7 linked regions of the Danio rerio genome follow. The protein of the gene in region 1 interacts with the protein of each later gene in a pairwise test. Links are inferred from orthologs where the notes say so. Each region holds a gene or a part of one and is shown in the gene's direction. Other genes may lie near its edges.

Evidence for each region.
Region 2: the proteins of banp (region 1) and l3mbtl3 interact in binary tests that used the Homo sapiens proteins (3 or more experiments, as listed by UniProt). The two-hybrid records come from large-scale screens. The link is inferred for Danio rerio from reciprocal best matches to the Homo sapiens genes BANP and L3MBTL3.
Region 3: the proteins of banp (region 1) and mrrf interact in binary tests that used the Homo sapiens proteins (3 or more experiments, as listed by UniProt). The two-hybrid records come from large-scale screens. The link is inferred for Danio rerio from reciprocal best matches to the Homo sapiens genes BANP and MRRF.
Region 4: the proteins of banp (region 1) and fam117bb interact in binary tests that used the Homo sapiens proteins (3 or more experiments, as listed by UniProt). The two-hybrid records come from large-scale screens. The link is inferred for Danio rerio from reciprocal best matches to the Homo sapiens genes BANP and FAM117B.
Region 5: the proteins of banp (region 1) and camk2d2 interact in binary tests that used the Homo sapiens proteins (3 or more experiments, as listed by UniProt). The two-hybrid records come from large-scale screens. The link is inferred for Danio rerio from reciprocal best matches to the Homo sapiens genes BANP and CAMK2D.
Region 6: the proteins of banp (region 1) and nrip2 interact in binary tests that used the Homo sapiens proteins (3 or more experiments, as listed by UniProt). The two-hybrid records come from large-scale screens. The link is inferred for Danio rerio from reciprocal best matches to the Homo sapiens genes BANP and NRIP2.
Region 7: the proteins of banp (region 1) and ppic interact in binary tests that used the Homo sapiens proteins (3 or more experiments, as listed by UniProt). The two-hybrid records come from large-scale screens. The link is inferred for Danio rerio from reciprocal best matches to the Homo sapiens genes BANP and PPIC.

Annotation. Positions count from the first base shown.
Region 1 is NC_133200.1:32,860,367-32,864,765, forward strand, and holds part of banp (protein BANP), read left to right. Parts: intron 1-390; 5' UTR 391-396; coding exon 397-472; intron 473-562; coding exon 563-645; intron 646-3,659; coding exon 3,660-3,859; intron 3,860-4,399. UniProt on the Homo sapiens protein: Controls V(D)J recombination during T-cell development by repressing T-cell receptor (TCR) beta enhancer function. Binds to scaffold/matrix attachment region beta (S/MARbeta), an ATC-rich DNA sequence located upstream of the TCR beta enhancer.
Region 2 is NC_133195.1:2,225,192-2,229,590, forward strand, and holds part of l3mbtl3 (lethal(3)malignant brain tumor-like protein 3), read left to right. Parts: intron 1-1,113; coding exon 1,114-1,198; intron 1,199-1,878; coding exon 1,879-1,973; intron 1,974-4,399. UniProt on the Homo sapiens protein: Is a negative regulator of Notch target genes expression, required for RBPJ-mediated transcriptional repression. It recruits KDM1A to Notch-responsive elements and promotes KDM1A-mediated H3K4me demethylation.
Region 3 is NC_133185.1:9,922,658-9,927,056, reverse strand, and holds part of mrrf (ribosome-recycling factor, mitochondrial), read left to right. Parts: intron 1-3,047; coding exon 3,048-3,166; intron 3,167-4,399. UniProt on the Homo sapiens protein: Responsible for the disassembly of ribosomes from messenger RNA at the termination of mitochondrial protein biosynthesis. Acts in collaboration with GFM2. Promotes mitochondrial ribosome recycling by dissolution of intersubunit contacts.
Region 4 is NC_133184.1:13,264,574-13,269,662, forward strand, and holds the start of fam117bb (protein FAM117B), read left to right. Parts: upstream 1-1,729; coding exon 1,730-2,357; intron 2,358-5,089.
Region 5 is NC_133176.1:15,575,499-15,579,897, reverse strand, and holds part of camk2d2 (calcium/calmodulin-dependent protein kinase type II delta 2 chain), read left to right. Parts: intron 1-1,178; coding exon 1,179-1,273; intron 1,274-1,483; coding exon 1,484-1,606; intron 1,607-1,727; coding exon 1,728-1,811; intron 1,812-2,522; coding exon 2,523-2,565; exon of another isoform or gene 2,566-2,856; intron 2,857-4,399. UniProt on the Homo sapiens protein: Calcium/calmodulin-dependent protein kinase involved in the regulation of Ca(2+) homeostatis and excitation-contraction coupling (ECC) in heart by targeting ion channels, transporters and accessory proteins involved in Ca(2+) influx into the myocyte, Ca(2+) release from the sarcoplasmic reticulum (SR), SR Ca(2+) uptake and Na(+) and K(+) channel transport.
Region 6 is NC_133179.1:18,183,135-18,187,533, reverse strand, and holds part of nrip2 (nuclear receptor-interacting protein 2), read left to right. Parts: intron 1-2,031; coding exon 2,032-2,382; intron 2,383-4,399. UniProt on the Homo sapiens protein: Down-regulates transcriptional activation by nuclear receptors such as NR1F2.
Region 7 is NC_133183.1:636,123-641,056, reverse strand, and holds the start of ppic (peptidyl-prolyl cis-trans isomerase C), read left to right. Parts: upstream 1-1,613; 5' UTR 1,614-1,708; coding exon 1,709-1,813; intron 1,814-3,253; coding exon 3,254-3,367; intron 3,368-4,286; coding exon 4,287-4,380; intron 4,381-4,934. UniProt on the Homo sapiens protein: PPIase that catalyzes the cis-trans isomerization of proline imidic peptide bonds in oligopeptides and may therefore assist protein folding.

The DNA of each region.
Region 1 (4,399 bases):
AAGTCCCGGCTGGGTCATTTAGCATTTCTGTGTGAAGTTTGCATGTTCTCCTCATGTTCACTTGGGTTTCCTCTGGGTGCTCCGGTTTCCCCCACAGTCCAAAGACATGCACTGTAGGTGAACTGAACAAACTAAATTGGTAAAAGTGTGTGAATGAGTGTGTATGGATGTTTCCCAGTACTGGGTTGCAGCGGAAGGGCACCAGCTGTGTAAAACGTATGCTGGATAAGTGGGCGTTTCGAAGGAAAATGAATAATTATTTGTAATCGTTTTTCAATTATTTATCCTCTAATAGTTTAATTGCTTTTGTTGATTATAATTATAACTTAATTATAACCCAATCCGAAGCAATCCCCAATTATTTATTGGTTACATTTTTCTGAAATGCAGGTTTGAATGATGTCAGAGCAAGATTTAGTGGAAATAGTCCAGATTGCAGTGGCGGATTTAAATCATGAAGGACACCAAACAGGTAAGTCCACCTTAAAAAATACCATATATGTTTATACATGAAAGTGTTTGTGGTTTCCTACTAATGTAATTCATTTTTATTTTATACTAGATGTTCTGGAGAATAATGAAGACTCTGATCAACCAGGGAGGAAACGAGCAAGAATTGAGATCAGTCAAGAAACATCTATCAAGGTAGCTTTCTAATGTCATTAAAGGGTTGTTTCACCATCACTCACCCTCGTCCACATGTTGTCCCAAACCAAATTTTGGTTCCTCTTTTGAAGGTCTATTTTCCCAAAACTATAATGCTTCATTCGACAATTAAAAAGGAATCAAAAAAGCATGAACAAAGCAGTTTAATCCAAGTCTTATTTATATAATGGACAGATGTAATTCTGGCCTTTATTCACATATAAACAGAGATGTATAAAGTACTAGAGACCCAGACTTAAGTAAAAGTATAAGTCCTCTATCAAAAAAGTGACTTGAGTAGAAGTTGAAATGCTCCAAGCACCATACTTAAATGGAAGTACTAAAGTATTCAACATTTTTTGTACTTAAATATTGTAAGTAAAAGTACAAGTATTGTGTAATGTAGTTCTTAAAGAAAGCAGTCAAAAGACATATTGTTTTGCTTATTTGAAATATCTTTTTTTGGGGCACATGATTAAGCGAACGAAAAGAAACATGGCTTACGGTTTATATGAACTAGGATAACGTTTTTCTCTCGCTTGAACCACAGATCTGACAGATTATAACAGCTTTAACACACACCTTTCACTCCAATTTCTGTAATTCACTCAAAACGCTATTGAAACCCATTTTCGGCTTGCAAATTACGGTTGTAAACGCCGTAAACGGGAGTTCTAAACATTCTGCCGGAAGACACTGGTCACTATGGTGCCCTCCATGCAGCAGCCAAGAAAAAGGTCTATAATTGTAAGGAGTAGAGGTGTGAATCTACACTGGTCTCACGGTTTGGTTCGGTTACCATTATCATGCTATCGATTCGGTTCAATTCGATATCTCGGTGCACTGACAATGCTTTCCATACATAATTCGATTTTGTCTTCACAACACAAGAATTTTTTTTCATTAAAATCTATAAATATATATATGAATGTCTGTTGAATGACCTCCCACCCTACTCATAATTCTCTTTTCATATCCATAAAACACTGTGATATAGCCGGGCTCGGATTGTATTGCTTTCTCACTACAATTAATCTGCTCCAGAGTTCGTTTGAATCGAGCTGAGACCATCTCATTCAAGCGATCTCGAAGCGATTGTTTTGGCGCAGATCCGAGCGCGATTGCTAGATTGCAAACGAGACAGGTTCCGAAACAAAGGTCTAGGTATGAAAGTACCCTTAAACTCATTGAAGATATGTACTGAAGTAAAAGTGGAAATAGGAGAAAAAAACAATACTCCAGCAGAGTGCAGATACAGCCTTTTAGTACTTAAGAACAGTAGTGAAGTAGTTCTACTTCGTTACTATACATCTCTGCATATAAATAATAATCATGGAGTAAAAACTGAAGCAATGATTCTCCTTTTTGGTTATTGTTCATCAGTCAAGCATGCTTGCTCATTGTTTGATGAGTTGTGAGTTTAATGTTCACCATAAAAAACAACAATTGTGTGTCTGCAGAATTTGACATTTTTTGCTATTTCTGCGCGGAATTTTGTAAAAACAAATTTATGCTAAATGATTTTGAAAATAAAGTAACTAAATACATGGAATAATTAAATATAACCCTTTTTTTAAATTTAAGGTTTACAAAGCAAACCCATTTGTTTGGTAAACAAAGTCAGTTTCTCATTTAATATATCTACTAAAAAGACTGTTACATTACAAACTGTTACATTACAAACTGTGTTAAATAAATCATATAAACATTAGCAAATTATTAAGTAATATTACTGCAGGTAATATAAAATATATATTCACTCACATTTACATAGTTAAACAAATAGACAAAAAAAAAAAAAAATTGGTGGAAATCTGTGAATTCGCAGATTCCGTACGGGCCTACATATGGGTTATGATGATAGATTTTAAATTTTGGAATGAACTAAAATCAGGGCTCCAAATCTGAATATTCAATAGTGTCAACAGTCATCCTCGTGCATGCACATATAAAAATCAACAGTAAAAAATAGGTGTGTTTTGCATTTAAAAATATATAGCAGGGAAAATAAGTATCCAGCACGTCATGTTTTTTGTTGGGAATAATATTTCTAAAGAAGCAGTTGACATGGAATTGAACCAGATTTTGGTAAAAACCCAAACAATACAAACAAAAATAAAACAAAACAAATCTAAAAAATAAATTTTGTGTAATAGCAATGAAATGACACAAGGCGAAAGTACTGAACTACTAAAACAGAAGCAGGAAATCAGAGCACATCACACCTGTCCTCAGGTCTCTACACTGGCTCCCAGTTACATTCAGAATAGATTTTAAAGTATTGTTACTGGTCTATAAATCACTAAATGGCCTAGGACCTCAATACATAACAGATATGCTGATTGAATACAAACCTAACAGATCTCTCAGATCATTAGAATCATATAAACTAGAAATTCCAAGAGTTCTGTCAAAGCAGGGTGAATCCGCCTTCAGCCACTACGCCCCTCGCTGCTGGAATCAGCTTCCAGAAATGATCAGATGTGCTCCAACATTAGGCACATTCAAATCGAGACTGAAAACACATCTGTTTAGCTGTGCCGTTACTGTATAAGCACTGTGCTGCGTCCGACAGATTGCACTATTATGTTTTTCGTTTTCTTTTTCATGTTTTTATAACCTATTTTAACTCATTTTAATTTGTTTTTATCTGTTTTTAATATTTTTTATTGTCTGCATTTTATGTTCTAAACTTGTCGTTTTTTATTCCTGTTTATGTAAAGTACTTTGAATTGCCACTGTGTATGAAATGTGCTATATAAATAAACTTGCCTTGCCTAAAACGTGTTAAATACTTTATATAAAAGGCTTTTTTTAATGATGGCAGCTTAAAGACGCCTCTTGTATGGAGAATGAAGTCACATGAATTGCTCAGGTGTAAGTTTTTCACACACTTCAACAGTGTGCAAAAATCTTGATGGTTATGTGGGTCTCATCTATCAATAAATGACATTTTCATCTGGTATTAAATATAATTAGATATTTTACCAATTTCTGTATTTCTGTTTCTCCAGTCGATGTTGATATCCATCAGTCAGGCGATCTGCCAGCGGCTGGACAGTATGGAAGCAAAGCTGCAGGTTCTTGAGGTGACCTGTCGAGGTTTAGTGGAGAAACTGGACACAGTGATGGGCAAGAACCAGTCAACGATTCAAGTACCCATGGTGTCCGGGTCCCCATTCGGAGCCACTCAGACTTGTGACAAAGTACGCTGGTAAGTGGACCATAGGTCATGTGATTTATACACCAGCACCATTCATTAAATGGTTGGTTCTGTTTATTTTTTTCTTTATTTCTGCCCGTTTTTACGGCGTACAACATATGTTATAAATGACAACAGGGTCCCCGCGGGGTCTTAAAAGTCTTAAATTAAAAAATCGATATGTATGGCTTTAAAAAGTCTTAAATTCGCTGTTCTAGGTATTAAATATTTTTGCACAGGTCTTATTTTTGCGATGTCCATGTAACGCTACATCTAATGCTTATTTAAATTCTTTTTGTTGTTGTTGCTAGGTTTTTGGGGTTTTGTAGTTCTTTATTTTACTAGTCCAATTGTAATTTGCTTTATTACAACCACAAAAAAAGTCAACTTGCGATAGCCAATCAGCTTTCTGATATTAAACTCAGTGCGCGCGGCGGATGTGACATCATCGCTGTGTTTGCGGAAGTTCGCTTTGAGTGCGTGCGACATGATTTTGGCTGGCAGAGTATGCCGTTATTTCACTGACAAATGTCGCAAGCGCAGTTTTATAAG
Region 2 (4,399 bases), on another chromosome or scaffold:
GAAGTAAAACGCTTTTGATTTGATGATGATTGCTGATCCTAGCGAACAGAACAGAGCTTTTATTCCCGGTTGCTTTGCGTATGTCTGGTCTTGTTGACATATACACGCGACTACCGGAACATGTTAATGCGCGCAGCTGTCAATCAATTCGGTGGGCGGGGGGATCGCACACCTACGTAATGGTGCGATCGATTTGAAAACAGCTCCAATTGGCCGACCCTTTTTTTGTAGTTAAATTGAAAAAAAAGGACTGGGTGTGTTCATATCACCCCAGTATGACGGTCTATACACTATACCAACACACAGATCTGTCCAAACAGCTTGAAAAGTAGATTTTTTACCATAGGTGCCCTTTAAGCAATAATGTTAAAACAATTTGTGCTGTAAAGGAAGGTGAGCGGGACAAGAGTTTTCCCTTGATGTTCTCGTTTTTTCCCCATTCAAATGCGTCTTGTGAACATGTTGTTTTTTTACAAAGTTAGTCTCATTAAAACAAAACCTCAGAAAATAAATCCCTCAACATCTGGCAACATGCCACATTCAATTACAGCAACTCAGAGGTGGAGTTTGAACCTTCCCATTAAGTACCTAGTTTTTTTTTAACGTATTGTGGTAATTTGCACGTTGTGTCAAAACGCTATGTGTCTAGATAATAGCTGTATACTCTCAGTTTGACTCGTGTACGATAATTTTCCTCCAAATACGATAATTTTGAGGGTCTGATACGATACTTTGACATTTCCAATCTGGCAACCCTGAATCCAGCTAACTTGGTGGACGTCATTGTAAAGCAGATGTTTTCAATGCTGTCCTTTTTCACAGCTTTATTACAGATTAGACAAGTAAAAAGATTTGTTTTGTTTTCAGAAATAATGAGCTAATTATACGATATATAATGAGCTTATCCTTCAACTAATCTGAAATAAGATCACAAGTGATTGTACACTTTTATGTCGAAAGAAAAAACACAGAAAATACTGTAGAGTCAAGTGTGTGTTTCTGATCTGCTGGCTTTCAGGTTTCACATCAGATATGTGTGTGTGTGTGTGTGTGTGTGTGTGTGTGTGTGTGTGTGTGTGTGTGTGTGTGTGTGTGTGTGTGTGTGTGTAACAGGAAGAGAAAGAAAGCAGGCGACCAGCCAGAGGAGCGACACGAGGACGCAAGAAACGCAGAGGAGACGCAGCACTGCTCCGATACAGTGAAACACACGCACACACATGCATAGACACATGCACACACATACATGCGTACACAAACAGACACACAGAATCACACACACACACACACACGTAATTGCACACAAACCGACACACACACAGAAACTCAGTCACACACATAAGTAAATAGACACAAACATACACACAGAAACACTCACACATGCCTACATTGACACACATACACACACACAAACATCCCCCACACAAATGCTTACTTATGTACACAGACACAAATACACAAACAGAAGCACACACATACTTAAACATGCATACGGACACACAGACTATCACACACCTATGTGCACACACACACACACGCACATGCACATGTAAATGCACACAAACCCATACACACAGATGCATACGTACACATTCACAGAGAAAAGACGCGCACACACATACAAACACACACACACACACACACACACACACACACACACACACACACAGAAACTCAGTCACACACATATGTAAATAGACACAAACATAAACACAGAAACACTCACACATGCATGCATAGACACACATACACACACATACACCTAAACATGCATTCAGACACACAGACAATCACACACATATGTGCATACGCACACACACACACACACACACAAACAGATGCTTCTAGGTGAGTCTGACTCTGATATTTCCCATGATGCAGCGGTGCCGTATGGAGGCAAGAAGAAGGCCTGGTGCTGGGCCTCGTACCTGGAGCAGGAGAGAGCCATCGCTGCACCCAGCAAACTCTTCAAAGAGGTCAGCACACACACACACACACACGCGCGCACTAGAGCTGCACGATTAATCAGAAAAAACTGCGATCTCGATTCCACCCATATAAACGATCTTAATCCAGCATTTCTACAATTCTGCCAATCATATGTTTAAGTTCAGGAGAGAAGAAAAGGCGGCCGCACAAGTCTTCACAATGTTTTATATACTTTGTTTAGCAATATGGACTCCTCCAAATGTTAATAAAAGAGTCACATACTGTTTATCAGGTATAAATCACTCGAAAATGCCATTTCTTTCTTCGTGGAATGACGTATTCACGGCCGTGAAATCACACTAGATGTGAGCTGACTGTGAGCTGGTACCATAGAGAGAGCGGGCGCATGTGAATGAAGTCTACTTTAGTGAACAGAACTAGAGATGCGCGGATGGCGGTTATTCCGCGGATAAACCGCGGATCGGGCGGATGACGTGACGAAAAATAATATTTTAATTAAATTCGGGCGGGTGGCGGGCGGTTGTACTGTTTTTGTACACATAGCTGGCGCACCAACGAAAAAGCCTAGGACTGACTTCACAGAATGAGAGGAGGAATCGGATACACTAATTCTGGATGAAGTACAGAAGTCTTCCTCTACAAAATTAAGAATAGACGGATCAGCAGAGGAAAATCTACTTTCTTTTTGGGAGAAACAAGGCAGTCATTCCCACGTCTACAGCACCTTGCCAAGAGAATTCTATGCATTCCAGCAACAAGTGCCGCGAGCGAGCGCTCCTTCAGTGCAGCAGGGCGCATTAGAGGCCAGGCGTTCTCGTCTGAATGTTGAAATGATGTGTCAAAATGCGTTTTCTATTAGGTTACTATAATAAAAAAAAATTGTACAGTACAGTGCGTTTCATTTATTTATTTTTGTCCCTGTGCACCGATTGGAGACGGAGTTCACTGCTGATATTCTGAGAGCTTTATAGGGTGCTTCTCATTTCTTATTTGTGTATCCTCGTTTCCTTTCCTTGCTTTCTTTCCTCGTCTTTCCACCCCTATAGGATGCGAGGGAAGGACGCAAAAAAAAACCTCAAGGACCAAGGAATCGAATCAAGTGAAACGACACGTCCTCGTATTGTTTAGCGTCACTTCAAAGCGTCAATTAATGCTGGATTTGACTTGCACGTTTGGATTAACTGCATGTCATTAAAGTCATTCTCTATTTTCTAATAATCAATAAAGAAACATTCATTTAATAATAAAAAGGAATAAGCCATTCAAATAAAGAGCTCAGTCAGCAGATGGCGGGCGGGTGCGGTTTTAAAAATAGGTAAAAAATGTTAGTGCGGATGGATGGCGGACGGATAATGAGTTTTATGATGCGGTTGCGGATGAAATAGTAGCCCATCCGCGCATCTCTAAACAGAACCTTCATAGGCTGTGAATATCAGGTAATACAGTCGCGAATAACATTCAGTTTGTTGCACAGAGCGATCGTTTGGGAGCCGCGCGTGAAGTATGAACCACATCATTTAAAAATTTCATATCGCATTATAGAGTTATGATTACGACAAGCATTTAATATTAAAGCTTTTTCTGTCATAGCGAACACAGAGTGTTGTACATGAGAATAAATGTTTTACAGTGTCAGTGTAACTACTCTAGCCTATATATTGTTCAATTTAATGAAAGAGGGAATCTGATAATGACAAATGTCATCTTAGCAGTAGAAAAATTGAATTGTCGGCAATTCAAATCATGCTGTGTGAATTTGGCGAGTCTTCATTTCTTGTCGGCTTAGTCCCTTTATTAATCCGGGGTCGCCACAGTGGAATGAACCACCAACTTATCCAGCAAGTTTTTATGCAGTGGATGCCCTTCCAGCCGCAACCCATCTCTGGGAAACATCCATTCACACACACACTCATACACTACAGACAATTTAGCCCACTCAATTCACCTGTACCACATGTCTTTGGACTGTGGGGGAAACCGGAGCACCCGGAGGAAACCCACACGAACGCAGGGAGAACGTGCAAACTCCACACAGAAACGGCAACTGAGCCGAGGCTCGAACCACCAACCGAATTTGTCGATTCATCCTATTTTAAAGTCATACAGTGTGAAACCCCCTGTTGCCGGTTCATCTTACAGTGTAAACAAAGCAGTAACCAAACGGTAACCCAGATAGTCATGCAGTGTGAAAACATCTGTGACACGACTCATGCAGTCTGAACTCAGCATTAGTGTTCGCCTACTAAACACTTCTACGTCTACACAAAGTGACAAGTTTTTAAAAGGATTCTCTGGCGCACAATATGAGTTAGTCTCGTAAACACCACTTTGTCTACATAAAGTGAAAAATCTTGTTAAATTTTAAGAAACTCTTTACACATTTCCCAGTTTGTCGCAGCAGTTTTTCTTAGAGCGCAGTGAAAAGGAGCCTACAACAAATGCATTTTACTAG
Region 3 (4,399 bases), on another chromosome or scaffold:
GGGTGAGAGACAGAAACATTGCTGCGTGAGGTAAGGCAGATGAGGGAAGGAGACATGCTGGCGAAATGTTCTGGTTTTCTGTCTGAAGAGAAAGACTGGGTGCTTTCATCCCTCAAAGAGAGCGAGACATGTCGTCACAACAATCATCGAAATGAGTCTCTTCGTTTGCAACCTTTTATTTTTTGTGACTGGTAGGGAAAGGATGCATTAACTGATAGGAAAAACATACATAATTCAAGCAAATGTGTTGTTGTCAGATGGAGTGTAGGCAGTTATTCCATTGTTTGTCTTAAAAGTTCTTCCCAAAATGAAATGTCATTTAGAACCTGCATGGCATTCTTCTTCTGTCAAAGAGAAAATAAGGTATTTTGAAAAATGTCTCTGCTTTTTTGTCTGTACAGTACAATGGCATTCCATGTTGTTATGGGCCTTAATGACTTTCATTGTATGGGCAAAAACAATTGCAACATTCTTTAGGTCAAAACATTCTTTTTCTGTTCTTGCATTTCCTGGGCATGATGTTTCTAGCATTGTGCTTCACTGTTTTAGCTTCTGGAATGGCCCTTAAACAAGGTTATTTTGGCCTAATCATAGGCACCTTAAGGGTACCCCTTAGCTTTGGACATTTCCAAGGGTCCTGATTAGAGAGCAGGCTCAACATAGGGACCACACTACACAAATGTCCAGAAGAGTGAAGCCAAAACATATTGCCAAAGCTCATCAGTGTTCTACAGTCTTGCTGCTATGTGTAAAAGTCAAGCTGTAACATCCTGCTCTTTCTCGTGAAGCTAATACGGAAGTAACTAAACCTGCAATTCATTGAAATTCTGTTAGGCCTGGATCAAATAGAGCACATTTCTATTGAGCCCATTGTTAAAATGTCTAACTTTACAGCAGGTTTGTTTACAGCCTAGTCCAAAAAAAAACTATTTTGGTTCAAATAGCTATTATTTTTTTTATAACTCATCCATTTCATTTATATTAAGTTATATTAAGTCTGCATAATTAAGGGCGTGGCCACTTGAGTAACAGCGAGGTCTCGATGGTCGCATTCATGTCACCTCAGCTAATTCCGGCTGATTAGCCGCTGAGCTCAGCATTTTTGCTTTGTTTTATGTGGGTTCACACAATTAAAGTTGCCTTTTGGAATTATTTCTTACAATTATCAGATAATATAGCATGCTGTGTGCACTTAATTGTGCACACAAACCCTTCACGCTGCCTCCATTTTTCAGGTGAGTGAAATTCTAATACTTGTATACCATCTTTCTAAATGTGTTTGTTTTATTTAAGATTACTTATCATTTATATTTTTATTTAGACCTGTAATGCACTCCAGAATCTGACAGATTAATACGCTGTAGGCTATAGATCAGTCATCTGAAACGTTGTCATACAATGTTATGCCTGGATGTCACACTGTATATACAGTATGAAAGCCTTGCATTTACTAACACAGACTATATTTGAAGTATTTGAGAGTTATTCGTGTTTTCTTTCTATAAAAAATGTCATAAGAACAGTGCTTAGTGGCTCAATTTATCACAACAGTGATTTTAAAAGACTAAACACTTTATTTATACAGTACACAACCAAGCACAAATGGTCAGAACACAAACGAGTCGCAGGTAATGAAGTATTAAGCGTTTCTCCCAAAGAAAAGCTCATCTAAGCAAAATGCTAGCAAGCGTCTGTAGCTCCGCTCACGCTCTGCCTCTTTGCTCTTTTTTGGTAGCCCCCGGTGGGCAGGATGACACGCGCACAAAATGGTGCGGTTGGCCACGCCTACTTGTAGCTTTATTTGTGCTTTCAGAAACGTGGGTGAGATCAAGTATACTACGTCCATATCTTTTACTGTCTATGGTGAAAGCTCTTCAAAATACAACATTTAATTACATGTTTTTATTCCAAATTCTTCAATCGAGTGTTTGAAATAAATCCTTCTAAGAGATAGTTCTATAGCCATGTGATTATTAGTCATATTATTTCAATTAAAGCAGTTAAATCTTCTTACCGTACGTTCACACCGAAAGCGGCGAGAGCGTCCAAGGTCACTCTGGCCGCCCTGGCGACAACGCTCTCTGCCTTCAGCTCCTGCGGCGAGAGCGTTAAAACTCGCTACATTGATCTCATTTTAAAAGGAGCCGTTGCAGCATATCAGTTACATTCCTGCATAAAACATGTTTCTAGCGTGAAAATGTTGCGCACTTCTTATCAAATTCATACAACAATGGAAGATCAAGTTGCGTGTGATGTGGCTTTGCTCTATTTATCCAATATGTGTCCATATGTCTGAAATATCCTGAAGCAGCAGTACTGTTTCGTACTTTCACATCGCGTGAGATTCCCGCTTTTTTAAGATAAATTTATATAACATTAATGAACGTCAGTAACTCGCCAGTAACTTATTTAATGTATGTTCCTGTAGGAAAAAATTGTAAATAATTGGAAATCCGGCGACCACAATAATCAAACCCTTGGGAACAACTGTGGTTGGAACCAAAGTTCACAGGTCTGTGTTCTCTGAACTGCTATCAAGCGATGGACGTCTTCATTCTGATTGCTTGCCGCCGAACCGCGTCATAGCTCATTACCATAAAGTTGACTTCATTTCAACTCTCCTCGACGCTTACGCCGGCGAAGACGCGCCGCGCTGCTCCTCGCCGCCTATCGCCGCCGGCTCTCATTGAAAATGAATGACTTCCGGCTACTTTGACGCTCTCGCCGCTTTCGGTGTGAACGTACGGTTATTCACCAACCACTCTGGGAAATTCCTGGGTGCCTTCTTCATGGGTGTTTGGAAGTTGTGCGCGAGAGCGCCCTCTGCTCTTCAGAGGAGATTTACTAGTGATCACCAAAACTGTCCTTCAGTGACAAGATGTGCATGACAATCATAGCTTTTGTTTAATTGTGATTTTATTCCATGTCAAACATTAAATATCGGTTGTGATTTGAACCCTTTTTGCTTTATGTCCTTAGTGGATAATGGTTGAATAATTGCAGCGAATCCTGTTGGCTAACAAAAGATTTTGTTCTTATGTGTTCAGGTGCACTGGACCACATTACAGTCACCACAAAGGATGGCAAATTTCCTCTCAACCAGCTGGGCCAGATATCCATGAAGTCTCCTCAGCTACTTGTGGTCAACATGACTGGCTTCCCAGAGGTATGGAACCAAACTACAGATGGCTCAATTCATACTGTTGCATCCAAAGTCAAGCACACTCAAACACCTCAAAAACACACTTTTTCTCCTACTGAAACCTGAGTGTGATGGACTTTTTCCAGCCTGGTTTCACAGAAATTGATTGATTGTTGGGGGAAGCCCTTTGTTCTTGGAGAACGATTGAAACCTAGGCCAAGAGTCTGTGGTTAGCTGTCAGGCCAGGAAATGACCGCAAAGTGCCCTCTGGAACTTGGACCCGAGTTAATGTGTGATATCTCTCTTTCTCTCTTCAGCGTCTTTTCCCTCTCCACACATTATGAGATGCTGTCGTTCTGTTTTTCCTCTCCTCTTTCTCTCATCACGACACTCAATGTTGAAATATATGGGATCTTTCTGCCTGATGTTCAGATAACCCTAATGAGATTAATGCGCTCTCCTTTTGGCCTATGTCCACTCAATTCCTAAGTTTCTGGTTTCCTGGTAGCTCTAAATTCACCAATCTACCTTCATCATCCATCCTGGGCGTCTTCCAGCCAAAAGGTTTCTCATAGAGAGTAATGTACAGTCAGTCGGTCATTATTACAAAATACACCTTGATAGGATGATCAAAACCAAAGCAAAAGGATTTTTCTTCACCTCATGGCGATAAGTTTACTTTTATCCATTTGGCAAGCACTTTTATTGATGTTTTTATCATTTTTTCCTTGGGAATTGAACCTATGACCAGTGGTGCTGCTAGTACAATGCTCTGCTAAGCTACAGGACTTTAAAAAATGTGATTATACTGTTACCCACTGGTCCTACTGCACCAAACCCAGCCTGAGCTGGGATCGAACTGTTGATTCTTTGTTTGGGAGTCGGTTGCTCTAACAAGGAAGCTAAAGACCATGGCCTCTAGTGTCTGTTGCTAGAACACCTTTAGAGGTCAAAGGAGTGAGGTTTACCTGCTAAGAACTTCACTAGCTGGCCTCCATTACGCTCATCCCCCTAAACCTTACACCCATCCCAGACGTGCCCCCATGTGTAACCCACCGGTTCTACTGCACCCAACCAATCTGAGCTGGTATCAAACTGGCAATTCTTTGTTTGGGAGTCGGTTGCTCTAACATGGAGTCTAAAGACCATCCCCTGTAGCGTCTGTCTCTAGAACACCTTTAGAGGTCAGAGGAGTGAGGTTTACCTGCTAAGAACTTTGCTAGCTGGCCACCACTACACTCACTCCCCTAAACCTCA
Region 4 (5,089 bases), on another chromosome or scaffold:
GAGAGTGAGCATGTTACTGTTTAGAAAGTATCTATCTATCTATCTATCTATCTATCTATCTATCTATCTATCTATCTATCTATCTATCTATCTATCTATCTATCTATCTATCTATCTATCTATCTATCTATCTATCTATCTACCTGTCTGTCTGTCTGTCTGTCTGTCTGTCTGTCTGTCTGTCCAACCATTTTTTAAGACGGAAAAACACGTAGGCCCTAGACAGGCCCTTTTTTTTTTTTTTTTTTTTTTTAAACAATTAGATTTAAGAGTAAAGGCATATTATTTCATGTATTTTTTATTTCACTGTAGTGTGATTGTGTAGATCACAGAAGATTTGATGTATGAGACAACATACGTTACTAATGTGAAGTAAATACTGAATTTATAAAATATTGTGGTTTTATGTTGGGAGCGGGTTTTCTTTTCTTATATTTTCTTTTTTCTTTTATATTTTCTTTAGATTCAGGCCCGTAGCTGGGGGGCATTTGGAGGTTTTCGGGTGACTAAGTCCAGAATCTGACCCCTATATTAGCTCATTTGTCTCATTTGCTCATTTTTGACTGCTATGCCATCACACATTGTGAAAATTCTAGATAGAAGAAGGCTTTAAGACAACTTAAATTTTTATACAAATTTGAATTAAGTGGCCAAATTCTGACTGAGGAAAGTTGAATGAGCTGGCCAGTTTTTATTTGCCCATAGGCAAATGTTTTTATTTTAAAACAAGTTTTACCAGATTACTATTTTTAGAATAATGCATTATAACACACTTGTATTTAAAAATAAGTATTTTTTTCATATTTCTTTATTCAATTTTTAAATGCTAATCTCATAACAATATTTATAAAACTGGATTAACTTACAGTTTAAATCCAAGTTTGTAAATAAATACTTCGTAGTAAAATAGTATGATGATCACTTTGACAAAACTAGGAAATGTTTTTTGTGCATCAAAAAAGTGAGGTTATGATCACCGTCCGACAAGCTGATCCAGCATAGTTCTTAAAGTGTTACTAAAATGCATAATTGAATAGAAAATGAGGCGAATAACAGCACACACACACACACAAAAAAAACATCCCTTTCAACAGGCTGGCTACGGGCCTGTATTTTTTTTACAGACATCTTTAAAATTAAATTGATTAAAATGACAATTTACAGCATTCAAATGACAAAAAATATATTTCTAATCTTAATTTATTAATTATAAATTGATTATTTATTAATAAATTTAATAATATTTCTATAACAATGACAGCATCTTGTTCAGCTGTCAGACATAGTTGATAACTGCTATTTTAAGAGCCTTTAAACTCAAGAGAAGCAGACAGTAATATATCATATTGATAAATCCTGCTAACCTACTTCATAAACCTTAATTACCTTCGTCACAGCGAAACCATGAAACATTTTCCTCATAATAAACCGTGCGTGCTCACGAAATTAAAGAATCCACTTCCCAGCCAATCAGAAGTTGTGAGTGGAGAGCGACCAGCCAATCAGGGGCAAGGAGGCAGAGCGCTGGATCGAGTTGACGGTGCGTGGCTCTGAATCTCCCTCAGTTTACTCGAGCTCGCGGAACGGCTCGGCTGTGCCAGTCAGGAAGCTTAAAACTGTCTTTAAATGGAGTGACAAGAGCACCAAAGAGCATTAACCACCCCAGGCGGTCTTAAACGCACGTTTAAACTGTTATTGTTGACTTCTGCGCGATTTCCCAGCGAACAGAATGTCTCAAAGAGTTCGCAAAAACGGATCTCCGACGTCCGGAGTGACCACGGGAAGCCCGATCGGATCCCCGGGGATCAGCGCCGCTGGAGTGAATTTACTGGGTCGCCTGCTGCCCATGAAAGCCACGGTTCCTTTCCAGCTGAAAACGCAGCCACAGCACCCTCTACAGACACGGACGGTTCTGTCCTCCTCATCCTCCGGTAACGGTAAATGCCACAGCAGCGGAGCTCACAGCCGGAGCCCCACGCGATCCCTTTCCTCCAGTGCCGTTTCAGCAGCCACGTCCACTTCCTCTGCGTTCATCACACCAACAGCGGCTTCTTCCTCTCCCTCACCATCATCTTCATCAAGAACTAGCCCCATTATCGTTGTCCACGCGACAAACCCTAGATCATCCTCGTCCTCAGCCCACTCAGGTGTGCACTTGGGCCCGCAGTGCTGCTCCCCCTCACAGCAGACCAGCTGCGGCTGCTCGGACCCTTCAGCCTTTACCTCTCATTTGTCATCCTCTCCGTCTTCATCCTCGCCACTGTGGTCTTGCGGTCACAGAGCCAAACCCCTCCAGACCCCCGAGCATGACAGACTGTCTCCAGAGAGGCTCAGTCCCAGCTCACCTGTGTGCACAGGTAATCCTACAGTAGAGCTCTTGAGTCTTGAATTTAGCATAAAGCCAGAAGTGATGAGCCACATGTTTACTTGACATCACTGTGGTAACTTGTAAACACACACGTGGTCTCCAGTGGTTTGTGGGCGTTATTTCCGCTTTCTGAATATTTGACAGTAGTAATAATGTCTCTCATATTTCGTAATAATAGGAAGGAACTCATGAGGCTTGTTGTTGCATTAAAAATGACCTGCATTAATATGCATGGCATGTGTAATGTAGAACAGAGATTCTTAACCTTTTTAACTCTGAAAGCAACATATATGACTAATTATATCTTTTAGTAGACTGATTCTGCTGTTATTATGAATAAAGATAACAGTTATTACACATTATTAACATGTTCATATTTTATACATAAAAACTGTTTAACAAACGAATAATTAAATGTTAATAATTATTCATTAGTAACACATTTTATGTATTTTAAAGTATTAATTAATTAAATAATTTATAGAAATAATAATAAAAAACTATTCTATAACAGTTATTTTAAATCATCTGGATTTTAATGCATAAAATGTAACAAAAATATTTCTGGATATATATATATATATATATATATATATATATATATATATATATATATATATATATATATATATATATATATATATATATATATATATTTATTTATTTATTTATTTATTTTTTTTTACAATTTTTTTGTTACATTTTATGCATTAAAATCCAGATTATTTAAAATAAGTATTATAGAATAGTTGTTTTTTATTATTTCTATAAATTATTTAATTAACTAATACTTTAAAATACATAAAATGTGTTACTAATGAATAATTATTAAAATGTAATTATTCATTTGTTAAATAGTATATATATTATTTTGTTTGGTAAATATATATATATATATATATATATATATATATATATATATATATATATATATATATATATATATATATATATATATATATGTGTGTGTGTGTGTGTGTGTGTGTGTGAGGGGGGGTGGTTGTGTGTGTGTATTTAAACACAACTACACAATTTTAAATAAATGTATTTAAATAATTAGAATTTTTATATATACAATTTAAATGAATGAAAAAAAATTTAATTCATGTATTTTTAATGTTTTAATTTGTATTTTAACAAAAACAAACAAATTCATTAATTTTCCTTGTACTTAGTCACTTCTTATCAGTGGTAGCCACAGTGGAATGAACCGCTAACTATTCTGGCATATGTTTTACACAGCAGATTCCCTTCCAGCTCCAACCCAGTATTGAGAAAAACATCCATTGTAATGCATCACTAATAAATTACCATTTTAATGTATTAACACCTGTAGTTTTAAAATCTGTAGATTTATTCATAAATTAAAAAAATAATAATAATTAGATGTATTCCAGTTTCCTGACGTGCATTCTAGGATGCTCTGAGATGTTCCCAAGTGTCAAGCTTAGATGGGAACTTCCCTGAGCATTTCAGGGTGCACCTTATAAAGCTGGTGGAATCAAGCTAAAGGAGACTTTTTAATAAACTTGGTTTAGATCCCATTATTTTATATTTTATATAATTTCATGATAGTTTTTGTGACTTTATTTTTCTACAGTTTTGAAATACTATTTATTTGACGTAATAATTGATTATTTGGAGTTGGAATTTAAATCTCAGGTGTGAATTTCGACAAGGGCTGCATGATATTGGAAAAATCAGTTATTTCGATATTTCAGTTTTTAAAAGATGGCTTAAATAACTCTCTAATAATTAGTCTGACAGTATTAAGGTACAGAAATTGAATAATCACTAGGGGTGGGACGAAATATTGATATGCTAATTTATTGTGATTCTTACTTTTATTCGTCTCTTTTTCAGTCAAGATATCTAAAAATCCTTAGATTGAGTGAAATTATTGTTTTGTTTTCACCTAAATAAAAAAAAAACTAGCTTAGTATTAGAAACATAACTTCTAAGTAAGTTTTTTTTTGCAAAAATCATATAAAATCTGTATAAATAATTAACTCCAAACATCATATTTTTTTTGTGCCCAAATGTTTTAAACTCTCTCAAAATGCTCAGTTACAGGCCTTAAAAACACATGCGAATGATAAACCTTCACTCTATTATGGTTAGACTTAGCAGTGACTCTATAAATCACGTGTTCTGTAGCTTCTGGTCAACTATAATTAAGACTCAACATTGCATATCTTGCAATGTGGCAATTCCAGATGCGCACATTGGCGATATCAATGTCGAAACGATATATATATATATTTTGACCTTCTTTTACAAAATTATTGTTTATCATTTACACGCTTTTAGACAGAATGATGCTATAATTTATGTAGCCTCTGATATACAGAAGACCCAAAGTTTCATGACATACAGTATCACACTGTTTTTCAAGTAATTTATAACTAACTAGTTCTCTTATCAGGCATTGTGAATGTTTTAGTGTTTGCAGGCTGTAGAGTATTTCAGATGTCTCATTCATAAAACAGCCTGTGGGGAGTCGCGCTGAGAGCAGGCCGCTGTGGTTTGAGGTGGCAGCTCCAGAGGCTTTTCTCTCTTGCTGACTGGTTAAAAATGTAAATGTTTGGTTGCCAGTCACTGGTTTGGACCTTTGACTCTCAAAAGTTTGTTTTGTGATCAGTTTGCCAGCAAGTGTTGCGCTGCGTTTGATTTACTGTAACTGTTTGAACTGGCGTTGTGACCGGTACCACATATTTTAAG
Region 5 (4,399 bases), on another chromosome or scaffold:
AAACTTGGGCAGAGATATAAATGTGAGAAATGTGAGAAATGTGAGAAATTTCACTGCAAACATAACATAATCAGGAAGATGTATGGGAGCTTTTGAATGATACTGATGATCTGTTTTGGCATGAAATAAAATAAAATAAAATAAAATAAGGCGCAGTGGGTAGCACGTTCGCCTCACAGCAAGAAGGTCGCTGGGTCGCTGGTTCGATCCTCGGCTCAGTTGGCATTTCTGTGTGGAGTTTGCATGTTCTCCATGCCTTCGCGTGGGTTTCCTCCGGGTACTCCGGGTTCCCCCACAGTCCAAAGACATGTGGTACAGGTGAATTGGGTAGGCTAAATTGTCCATAGTGTGTGTGTGTGTGTATGTGGGGATGTTTCCCAGAGATGGGTTGCGGCTGGAAGGGCATCCGCTGCGTAAAAAAACTTGCTGGATAAGTTGGCGGTTCATTCCGCTGTCATTCCTTTTTTTAAAGTAAAATAATAAAATAAAATAAATAAAAATAAAAATAAAACAAAATATGTTAATGAAGCTCAGTGCCACCAGTAACACTGGCTTCTGTAGCCATTCTACTGCCTATATACTGTATGCTAACTTGTGTTGATGAATGATTAGTCGGAGAAGGTCTCTTTTTTATTTGCACAAAAGTATTTCTTGCATATACTGTCTTTGAAGTCAAATGAAAGGGAAGTTAAGATGTTCTTTTTCCCATGTCATGGCGTACATCTGATTAAAACGATCCTACAATGAGAAAAATTGGAAAATAATTGGATTGCTGGAAGATGGGTGTTGCTAACAAAATGAAGGATCAACAGATGGACGAAAGCAGGGCAGAAATAGGACACGCCCTGATAGCCCCGCCCTAAAGGCATTCCATGTGACCAGAAGTGAAAAAAAGTTGTTTCAAGGGGGAGAGATGGTTATGGTATTTGATAAAACATTATAAGGGCAAAATAATTTGTACAAAATAATGAATTGCACAGATGCAATGTTTTAGCAAACACTACTATGTACACATAAAAATAAGAAGAGTACATTTTGATTTCATGCCGACTGTAATGACCTAAAAAAACTATTGATTTCATCAGACTCATTTTAAAGCTGAATTTATTTGAAGTATTTGCTGTGAAGAAGTTTCCCCTCTGAATGTGGCCATAATAGGAGCTTTCTGGTTCTCACAGGTGTGATCCTCTACATTCTGCTGGTTGGATATCCGCCATTTTGGGATGAAGACCAGCATCGCCTCTATCAGCAGATCAAGGCTGGTGCCTATGATGTAAGACTGAAGTTGAAGATTTCTCCTGCAAAGTGTTCACACTATACAAGAAGACACTGTTAGAGCTACATATGCAGAATATGATGAGACTGTTGATAACCATTGGGCAACACTGATGATAACTTGATGATATCTTGGGTTCCACAGCATATATGTTCATACAAAATAATGAAACTATGCTCAATTGTGTTGTTTTATCTCCAAATGTAGTTTCCTTCTCCCGAGTGGGACACCGTGACCCCTGAAGCTAAAGATCTGATTAATAAGATGTTGACTATCAATCCCTCTAAACGTATCACAGCTGCTGAAGCCCTCAAACACCCCTGGATCTGCGTATGTTTTTTTAACACATAAACACACACTAGTAAACAAGCTTGTCTATACACAGTACAACAAAGGACTGTTTTAATCTTTACTAATGACTAATTTTTCTATCTTCTTTCTCTTCCTTCAGCAACGCTCCACTGTTGCCTCAATGATGCACAGACAGGAAACCGTGGAGTGCTTGAAGAAATTCAACGCCAGAAGGAAACTCAAGGTTAGTTTTTAACTGATCTTTTACAGTTTTCTACTTTTGACCAAGCTTTAGCTTTCTCCACACCTTCAGAGTTTACTTCGCAGAGCTTCACCATTGTGTGTGCACTTGCTTTTTCTCTAAATCCGAGTCACAGAGACTCTGTTTACACCAGGTATTAATATGCATTTTCATCAATGTAATTACAAGTGGATGAATCAAAGGCCTGCTTTCACAGACAGGGCTTAGGGTGCACTCACACTATGCTATCTGAACCGTGTCCTGGCTTGTTTCCCGGTTCGTTTGACAAGTGTGAGTGTTCTGAATCGGGACATGTCATGCATATGAGCATTCCTGCAAAAGTGATATAGTGCTTGATTAAATAGGAGACAGGGGTTTTGTCAAAATCACAGCGATCACAAATAATGCATTTGAATGCATGTTAATAAATATAAATGGATTGAAACAAGGCCAGGGTATTTGTGCTTTAAAAGTATTTCAGTACACTATTGTATTGCTTTTTGGCTAATTATACTTAAATTACATTTTGTAAGTATTTATGAAAAGTCATTATAAGAGGTTTCAAACTAGAAAAAGTATTTCATCTTGCAAATAAACAAAAAAGAGATGACACTCTGCTGTTGCTTCTGTGCTATTCTTTCTTTCACCTCTCTCCTGCTTCTTGTTTTTTCCCCTTTTCTTCCATTTCCAAAACTTTTTTTTTTTTGCAACTAGGGTGCAATTCTGACCACTCTCCTGGTCACAAGAAACTTCTCAGGTACGTCTGGCTCTGCAGAACTGTACGTTTGAATTCTACAGCTGCAATAAACTCCCTCCGTTTTTATTTTCCTGCACAAATACTGTAAATTTGATTCAAAATGCTATAGTTTTTTTCTCATATAACTTGCTTTGTGTTTAATTTGCTGTTTATTATTGATTTAATTTTTTGGAACAAGTCTGTTTTGAAGTGAGGTGGTACACTACCACTTTTCAGACATTTTATTTAACATTTCTTTCCTGTTTATCGTTGCTTTGTCTCTTTTTGGGGGGGTCCTGTGGGTCCCGTGAGGTAAGAGTCTAATTGGACATAAGAAGGGGATGTGTTTTTACTCTAACCAGTGAACTGGTTTGCTTGTTTGACACACTTCCCTGTTACTCTGAGATACTAATTACCCTTGTTTGCATGTTATCAAACAGATTACATTCATATCGTCAACTCACGTTTTGTGTACAATGTCTATAAAATAATTTTTAAACTAATACATTTGCATTAGTTTAAACTATATTAATGCCACAATAATCAAAAAGTACTTTATGAATGTAATCACAAAAATAATGTTAACTTACTGGAAGAATAAATGTTTACTGTCTTGCTAATGAAACAAGTATCTTGAATGCTTGCTCATTATCTGGTTACATGTTCATCTGGATATGTTTATGTGCATTTTGCAATGTTACTTTTACAAATCAGGTATAATAATTTAAGGGTGTAGAATTTACTAGCTCTAAGCAAAATACAGTTGTCAATATGTTATAGATAAGGTCATAACTGTATGGTTGTCTGCACTAAATTTGTGATGATCTGTATTCTAAAGCAACTCTTTCTTCGAGGACAAATGTGTTTAATTTATTTATATAGCACATTTCCAACTGCCAAAAGGCTGCACAAAGTGCTTTACAGAGAAAAAATAAACTGACGATATGGGCATAAAAACAGTAACAGCAATAGGCACATAAAAGGAAAAAACATAGAAAGTGTAACAATAAAAAGAGCAAAAAACTAATTGAAATTTTGCCTAATTATAAGATGCTACCACAGTTGACCACACTAAATAAGATTAAGAACAGGAACGTTTTGATCCCCCCACCCCCCTACTCCTGACGGGAAGGATTTTTGCTTCAAAAGACCTACAAAATAAATAAGTCTTTACTTTAGACTAAAAAATAAGCAGTGACAAAGCCTTTTTTAGTTCTAATGGCAGGGCTTTCCAGAGGCGAGGACCTGATATGGCAAAAGCACTTTTGCCCCTACTGTTGAGGTGGGCCTTTGGAACTTTTAATAAAAACTGATCAGCGGAACGCAAATGTCTGAATGCAGTGTAAATAACAATCAGTTGGGATAAATAATGCGGGCCTAGACCATGTAGGGCTTTAAACACAAAGAGAAGTTTTTTAAATTCGATTCTTTGTGTCACCGGTAACCAATGGAGAGACCTCAAAATAGGAGTGACGTGCATATTTCAGGCTTTTTGTTAAAAATCTAGCTGCTGCTGTAACTGTAGGCGAGCAATCTAAGACTCAGACAGCCCAAAATAGAGATAGTTAAAATGGTCCAACCGGGAGGTTATAAGCGTGTGTATGGCAATTTCTAGAGAGTGTGAATGAGGAGAGGATTTCATTTTAGAGAGACGGCGGAGTTGGTAGAAACTATTTCCAACCACTTTTGAGACATGTTCATCAATTTTTAAGTTCTGGTCTAATGTATGTTGTAGCATCTTGTTGGCAAAACATGACAAATATTCTGAAATAAAAACTGTGCCTTAAGATGTTGTAACTGTACTAATATAATATAATATAATATAATATAACATAACATAACATAACATAACATA
Region 6 (4,399 bases), on another chromosome or scaffold:
GAAAAAAAAAAGAAAATTGTAGAATGTCACGATTCAGAGAAAATACATTTCTGAGTTTGTCCCTCAAGTTGCCAGATATAAATCCACAATTGCAAAAAAAAAAAAAAAAAAAAAAGGAAAATTCACACTAGATTTGACTTTTTTCCTCATAATTACTGTTTTTTTTTGTGCTGTTCTGGCTTTTTTCACCTACAGTAAGTGGAACTTTATTTATTTTTATTAAGTTATTGTAAAATAAATGTCAGAATATTAACATGTATTGTAATGTAATGTAACTGTAATGTAATTACATTACATTACAGAATATTAACATGATACAAACTCAGAGTTGCCAAACATAAATTTACAGTAATATAGTATAAACTTACCCCCCTCTGAAATCTTATCCACCCCCATGCATTCTTGAGTATGTTCCATTACAGGTGAGTGGGCTTAACAAACCACCTGTAGAAAAGACTTTTTTTTTCTCATCTCTCTGACTCTAGGTTGCACATTTGCACTATAGACACTTTCTTAATCACTCCATGTATCTTGGAAACATTGTGCATTTCAAACTGTGCTTCATTCAGGTGACTGGGTTTACAAACCACCTGTAGAACATCCTAATCAGGAAGAGTTTTGAAACGACTATTCATGCTTCATTTCCACGCGATTAGATCATTGTAATACTTTATATATTGGTCAACCTTCATCTTCTATTTCTAGTCTTCAAATGGTCCAAAATGTGGCTGCCTGTTTGCTCACGAGTAGCCACAAATAATATTGCGATCACTTTATTGGTTTCCGGTTCATTTCCAAGGAGACTATAACATTTATCTGTTTATAAAACTTTGTGTAACCTAGCACCACCGTATCTTTCTAATCTGATCACTACTAAGACCCAAACCTGATCGCTTAGATCAAATTCCGACTGCCATCTATTGCAAACACCCTGATCTCATCTCAAATGCAGGGGCAATAGAGCTTTTGCAGTTGTGGTTCCGAAACTATGGAATAAGTTACTATTAAAAATCAGAACAGCACCCACTCTATCTATTTTTAAATCAACGTTAAAGACTCACCTTTCTTTTCCGAGTGCATTTAACAGTCCCTAGGTTATACTAAACGTATTCCCTCTTGGAAACTCTTAAAGTTATTACTATTGTTTTATATTGTTGTTTTTATTATAGTGTATTGCTGTTTTTACCTGCTACTGCTACTGTACAGCACCTTGGTCGACCAAAGGTTGTAATTAAGTGTGCTCTAGAAATAAACTTTGATTGATAGAAACCTTCTTTTCTCTTTTAAGCACCTGACACTTTATCCAAACTCCATCTTACAAGAACTCAATAATGAAAACGATGTTTACTATAAATGTACCACAATCATGTTGCACTGCTTGCTAACCTAAAATAACTCTTTTGCACAGTATTAAGCCTTAAATACCTCTTTTGCACATTATTCACTTTTATTACCTCTCTTGCACAATATCCTGGACAACTCAGTCTCATTTAAAAGTACTTGTATAGCCTTCTGTGTATAGATAAGTATCTTATAATATATGTTAGTTATGCATAGTTTTTTAAATAGCTCTTATGTCCAGTGTTGTGTTTGTATTTATGATTAATTTATGTAGCACTGCTGTCCTGCGAGACACAACATTTCGTTCCTCTGTATGTCCACACATGTAGCCGAATGACAATAAAGCTCGACTTGTCTTGACTTTTATGATTTTTTTTAATATTTAAATATAATTTTAACTTTGTTAATGTTTTATACTGTAAATTAATAACTATTTTTATTAGTTAGTTTTTCAGTCTGTATTTGAGTCAAATAATGAGCCAAAAAAAAAAACATATGACCTCTAAAACTAATTCATTTCATCATGAGCCTCAGTCTTCACCAAATGCAACAATAAAACATCCAGATTCTCCATGAACACACACATTTTTTTATAATACTTTCAAAAGTAAACCAATTGCAGGAAAAAGCTCACATGCCAACTCAAACTCACAACTAACAAAATTCTCTTCTCTTTCCCTCCCCGTACAGCAACCCCACAGCATTGTGCAGCGGCGCCTCTTGGAAGGCAACATCCCCCGTCTGCGTGGAGAGACTCGGGATATCCCGTCTCATGTCCGCTCACCCCTAGCAGACAGCAAAGAGCCTGGAGAGCCCGAGGAGAGGAGCGAGAGCACAGTGGATGATTCCACAGAGGAGCGCGAGTCTCCTGAAGAGAGTGAAAAGAGCCTGAGGTCTGATGAGGATGGGGATGATGAAGATGAAGGAGACAGCAGTGACGCAGGAGGAAAGACTGACTCCAAACAGAAAGAGCAGAGGAAGAAAGAGCTCAAGGAGGGAGAAAGAGCAGCCAGTCTCTCAGCTCTAGTGGTCCAGTGTAAGGTAGGCTCTAGTGTTTTCACAATACTGGAATTTCTGACTTCTATGTATGTGATACCCTGAAGAATATCACTGATTCATGCCATTTTTGATACAATGGGGAAATATTACAACAGCACAGTGGTAACTGAATTGACGATATTTACGCTTTTATCTTCAATTGGGTATATGCATACAGACTTTTTATTTCAGCTATCCAGCCTCAGAGCTTCCGGTGAACTCTTTCCATTATAAAATTGCCACGATTTTTTGAAAAATCAGTGATCTTCACTGCCTGATAGATGTACAATATGAAATAGGTCTCAGATTGGACATGTAGCACTGCAATAAATTCAATTTCCCCCGATATGTCTTTAAAATATGTCAATTTATTTTACCCCAGTATTTTCAATGGAGTTTCTACGCAAGTCTGCTGATCCTGACCGCGCTAGACTTTACGCGGTCTTTCATCTCATTTTACGCTTGCGCAACTAAATCAATGCTTAAGTCTATTAAACTGAATGTATTGTAATTACATTACAACAACGATGCTGTAAAAGGAACCTTATAAAATAGAAAAAAAGTCACATTAAGCTTTCACAGGAAGTTTATCATTGTCTGAAAAACACTAGCTGTGCAAATACCCAATTGGCAGTCTTAAAAAGACAGTTCACCTAAAATTTAAATTTGCTCACTATTTACTCATCATCGTTCGGATCACAGCAAGAAGGTTGCTGGTTCGAGCCTCAGCTGGGTCAGTTGGCATTTCTGTGTGGAGTTTACATGTTCTCCCTGTGTTCGCGTAGGTTTCCTCTGGGTGCTCAGGTTTCCCCCACAGTCCAAAGACATGTGGTATAATTGAACTGGATAGGCTAGATTGTCCATAGTGTATATGTGTGAATGAGAGTGTATTGGTGTTTCCCAGTTATGGGTTGCGGCTGGAAGGGTATTCGCTGCGTAAAACATGTGCTGGATGAGTTGGCGTTTCAATCTGCCGTGGCGACCCCAGATTAATAAAGAGACTAAGCCGAAAAGAAAATCAATGAATTTACTCATCATGTAGTTTCTTTAGGGGTTTCTCTTAATTTATTTAGAAACCTGCAACCCTTGACTTCAGTAGTAGGGAAAAGCAATCCTGTAGAATTCTATGTTTTTCAGGTTTTAAACATTGTTTAAAATCTTTTGTGTTCATCAGAAGTAAACAATGACAGAGTTTACAGTTTTGGGTGAACTATCCTTTTTAAAACATCAAGCATGGCCCAATGTTGAGCATGAACCTTGAATTCACGTTGTCATTCATCCAGTTTTCATTAAACGTAAAACTTTTAGAAGCAAAAAAACAAAAAAAGGTTGTATTTAATAAGAGAATGTTTTTTATCAAAAATAAGAGAATTTTTGAGTGAACTAATCGTTTAAACTGACTAAACCGTAAACCGCTTTAACCGACCTTAAACGATATTGAGTTATCGAATATTGTTACTTTTACCAACTCTACTAGGCTCTGTTCTGTCTTTTCCCAGTTGTCTGTACTTATAATAGTGGAGATAACAGCTTGCTGTGATGACAAAACACAAGCTCTGGCTCTCTATGACTCATGGGTTTATTTTCCTCACAGCCAATTGTTCTCGATGGTTGGGTTTGAGAGGGTTTTAGAGGGCCAGTGTGTGCATCCAAAAAGCCCGAATCAGTGAAACACCTCATGCCAAGTTTATAATAGAGATGATGATGGTGATGATGTAACTGGGGCGCAAGTGACTCACTGTATGGTGACATAACATCTATCTCAGCCATCCTTTTCAAAACTTTCAGCAACTTCAGAAACTTACAATGAATGATAACAAAGAATTATATGAGATTAGAGATTTGAGATTAGAGATTTGAGCTTTATTTTTATCTTTATCTTTATTTTTTCAAAGATTTTTCAAAGATTTTTTCAAAGATTCAAAGGAAATCTTTGGAAATGTTGCTTTTTTGATTTAAAGCACTTATGGAGTGAAATATTAATAAATTGTACAACTGAAAACAACTGTTCCAGTGTTAA
Region 7 (4,934 bases), on another chromosome or scaffold:
TGCTCCCCTGTAAGCCAGCTAAAATTATATATCAGTAAAATTAACACATTTCTCGTTAATTCAGAATGTTTTCTAGCAAGGGAATTCATCAGACTGTATTTAGGATAAAGAAAAGTGAAAATATGATTGTTTTAAAAAAGTTTTCTTGTGTCTCACTTTACCCCAGCTGCGGGGTAAACTGAGACAGATAAGAAAAATCAAAGTGTTAAAGTGAACCAGCCGGGGTAAACTGATCCACTTACTTTTTCCACATTAAAACTACCATAACAGCGCATGTTGTAAGAGTTTGAATCCAGACAGCTAGCTTGACAACCACACATTTCAGAACTAATGCCGGACTAGTCAATTATGGACTGGAGATTGGTCAACAAAGCACATGTTTTTCTACACTTGAAAGTAACTCTGAACAAAATCAAATGCAACAATCCAATTCAAACTATTGGAATCTGCATACTAATGACAGACAGAACCAGTTAGATTAGAACACAATCCGGTGGTCAGAACACAGGACCTTTAGAGCCAGCATAGTATGGGGGTCGAGAAAAGGGCAATCAGAACCAGATAGAACAGCTTGGGACGCACACATGATTAGACCCACCTGGATTAGAACATTAGTCTACTGTCATACTCATACCCTCGTCGACAACCTAATTTCACCCTCGTGCTTTTGAATTAACATCTATGTTGATCTTTGAACAATATCCCAATCAGACTTAGGGGTACGTTTACCGTTTATTTTCGTTTTATGCTTATGGTTAGGTTTATGCACTACTACATGATTGTTATCCAGCTATTATTCCCCTCTGATTTTGGGAGTAATGTATATGAGACAAATTCTGGACCTTCGTCAGTGGGGTGTGGGTCTTTTGAACCACCCGAACCCACCCATGCACTGCAAAAAATGCTTTTTTTACTTAGATTTTTTGTCTTGTTTCTAGTCCAAATATCTAAAAGTTCTTATATCAAGAAGCATTTTCTAGACAAGCAAAACATATTGTCTTGTTTTAAGAAATAATCTGCCAAAATGAAGTGAGTTTTTCCTAAAATCAAGCTAAATAATCTGCCAATGGCGTCAGCAAAATAATCTTATCACAAATTGAAAAACAGGATTATTTTCCTGACCCCATTGGCAGATTATTTAACTTGATTTTAGGAAAAACTCACTTCATTTTGGCAGATTATTTCTTAAAACAAGACAATATGTTTTGCTTGTGTTGAAAATGCTTTTTAATTTAAGAATTTGTAGATATTTTGACTAGAAACAAGACAGAAAATCTAAAAAAGCATTTTTGCAGTGTGGCTATAGGGCCTGATATATTAGATACTGTACATGCATGTCAAATTGTGTATTTAATTTTATTCCTGCATTGTCTGTGTTTTTGCTCTGTCACTGTCATTCTGTTGACTTCTGTCAGGAAAACACAATAAAGCTTGTTCTGATTTTGATGTTATCATATGTACATGTTATGCCAATGTGGGCGAGTATCTGATTGATGTGGGTTTAATATATTGTCATTATGAAAAGAAATGCACAAAGTGCTGCTACTCTCCGCCATCCTTGTACAGTATTGAGTGTATTCCTCCGACACTGTGCGTCATGACGCGTGCGCGCTGGAGGAGGAGCGTCATACAGGAAGACGCAAGGAATCTGCAGATTCTCTTCAGCCTAATAACACTCAGACCCTTATATTCATACATTCAGTCAGAGATGCAGCGGTTTCGGCTCTGGCACGCGTTTTCTCTCCTCGGTCTGCCGTGTTTAAGCAGCGCGATTGATTTTAAAACGCGAACGGGACCGCAAGTGACGGACAAGGTGAGACGCGCGTCCTGCAGCATCTTCTGCAAACACTACACAACCATCATCATCCTAATCATCATCCACAACACACACACACAAACTAAACCTACAGCCGATCGCTATTTAAGTACAAATCGCTGTGTGCTGTGCGCATGCGTCTGTTCATTGCGTTCTTCTTGACGCGACGCGCTTCACTGGAATGCGTCACATTTGAGGAGTTTCAGGCACACTGAAATAAGAGTTGGTGATGGCAGTGTTTCAATTCTGTAGTTATTCCAAATAATATTATGCATTTTTTTTTATAAAAAAGGCAATTATTCAGAATGACATCCTCATGTGTTGTGACTGAAAAATAAAATTATAAATCAAAATAAATGTTTGGGTTATCTTGTGGTGGAAAACTATCGCGTGCACCTCTCGACAGTACTGTATAATTACACAATATTGTCTTTTATGGTGCAATATCAACAGGAGTAAAAGCAAAACAATTCAACAAACAGTAAAACGTATTTTAAATGCTACTTAAAATGTCCATTTTGTTTTTTATTAAGTTATATAATTTAAAATGATCAGTGTTTTTTTTCTTTGTAACATTTAACCAACAAATAAAGTCAAGAAAAAAATATTTAAAAAGAAATTTATGAAAATTGGGTGTACTTACTATATGATTAATATTGCAGATAAGTTGTGTGTAATTACTGTAGTAATACATGGAGCTTGTGTAAAGACACCTTAAATGAAGGGTTATTTAATATTATTTAAATAGTCTGATTGCATACGGTGTATAATGTCTTCAGATATTTAGCAAACTGTACACTTAGCTCTTGCTCTGTGTGTGTGCATGTGTATGTATGCATATATGTGATTGTATGCATGTGTCTGTATTTGTGTGTGTATATGCTTGTGTATGTGTGTCTGTGTGTGTATGCGTTTGTTTATGCATGTGTGATTGTATGCATGTGTCTGTAGTTGTGTGTGTATATGCGTGTGTATGTGTTTGTTTATGCATGTGTGATTGTATGCATGTGTCTGTATTTGTGTGTGTATATGCGTGTGTATGTGTGTCTGTGTGTGTATGTGTTTGTTTATGCATGTGTGATTGTATGCATGTGTCTGTATTTGTTTGTGTTTGTGTGTATATGCATGTGTGTATGCGTGTGTTCATGCATGTGTACATAAATGTGTTTGTATGGATATGTCTGTATTTGTGTGTGCATATATGTGTGTATGCATGTGTGCGTAAGTGTGTATACATGTGTGTTTGGATGTACGTGCCTGTATTTGTGTGTGCATTTGTGTGTGTGTGGGTCTGTGTGTGTCTAACATGTCTTTTTGAACATGTGTGTCTGTGTCTATGAATGTTTGTGTGTATGAATGTGTCTGTATATTAATGTGTGTGTGTGTGTGTGTGTGTGTGTGTGTGTGTGTGTGTGTGTGTGTGTGTGTGTGCTGCAGGTGTTTTTCGACATCACCGTGGGTGGTCATGAGGTTGGCAGGATCGTGATTGGTCTGTTTGGTGAAGTAGCTCCTCTGACCGTACAGAACTTTGTGTCTCTGGCCACTGGAGAGGTAAAACTCTGCATCCTAACTTTAACCATACATATATATACATACATACATCCACAGTTGAAAGCAGAAGTTTACATGTACTCTAAAAAAAGGAACATAACTTTTTTTTTTTTTAATGTATGACGGTAAATGATACTAAACATTTTTGGTCTGTCAGGATTACCTAAATGATTTACATTGGCTAATTGCCAGAATAATGAGAAAATGTTTTATTAATTTCTAGACAGTCAGACGTTTACACACATTTCCTTGGTATATTTTAGCTTTGCTTTTAAACTGTATAACTTTGGTCAGATGTTTTGGGTCTCCTTCCACAAGCTTCTCACAATAGTTTGCAGGAGTTTTGGCTCATTCCTCCTGACAGAATTGCTGTAACTGAGTCAGATTTGTAGGCTGTCTTGCTCGCCCAAGCTTTTTCAGCTCTGCCCACAAATGTTCTATAGGATTGAGATCAGGGCTTTGTGATGGCCACTCCAAAACATTCCCTCTGCTGTCCTTAAAGCACATTTGAACTCATTTGGCAGTGTAATTTGGCTATAATTCAGCCAAATCAGATGAAAATTATGTATTTATTTATTATTTTTAGTTGTGAATTCACTTCAGGAAAACACATTATATTAAATGTAGAGATTGCACTAAGACAGAAATTAAGTGTGATAAAAAAAAAAAAATAATAATAAATTAGAAATAAATAAATAAAACTACAAAGGGTGGGTATTAGAACTGTTGGCTGGAATTTCTAAGGGCCTCCAAATTACTAAATCCACCCCAATTATATTACTGTAAAGCATCCTGTACAAAATATGATTGTGAAAGAGAGATCTGTGACGGGTGAACTCATTTATGATCAACGCTGTGTGTGTGTGTGTGTGTGTGCATAACACAGATCATCTCTCTCTCTCTCTCTCCATCTCTCCAGAAGGGTTACGGCTATAAAGGCAGCAAGTTTCACAGAGTTATCAAAGATTTCATGATCCAGGGAGGAGATTTCACTGCTGGAGATGGAACAGGGGGTGAGGATCATGATCTCCTGGATTTTGAAAATTAGTAATTATTTCCATAATGAGCCATTCAAGTCATCTGGTGAAAATGTATTCATATTGCAGTTCATTCATTCATTGGCTCAGTCCCTTTATTTATCAGGTGTCACAACAGCGCAATGAACTGCCTACTTATCCAGCATACATTTTACACAGCAGATGCCCTTTCAGCTGCAACCCAGTACTGGGAAACACCCATACACTTCTATTCAAACAGATATTCTAGGGACAATTTAGCTTACCCAATTCCCCTATAGCACATGTCTTTGGACTTGTGGGGGAAACCAGAGCACGGAAACCCACACCAACACGGGGAGAACATGCAAACTCCACACAGAAACACCAACTGACCCAACCGAGGCTCAAACCAGTGACCTTCTTGCTGTGAGGCGACAGCACTACCTACTGCGCCACCCACAGCTAATGTTTACGTTTGTAATTTTTTAAATTATTTGCCAATTAAAAACCACCTATATAACTCTGAACATGCATCTCATTTCAAGACTGACATGAAATATGGCGCATTT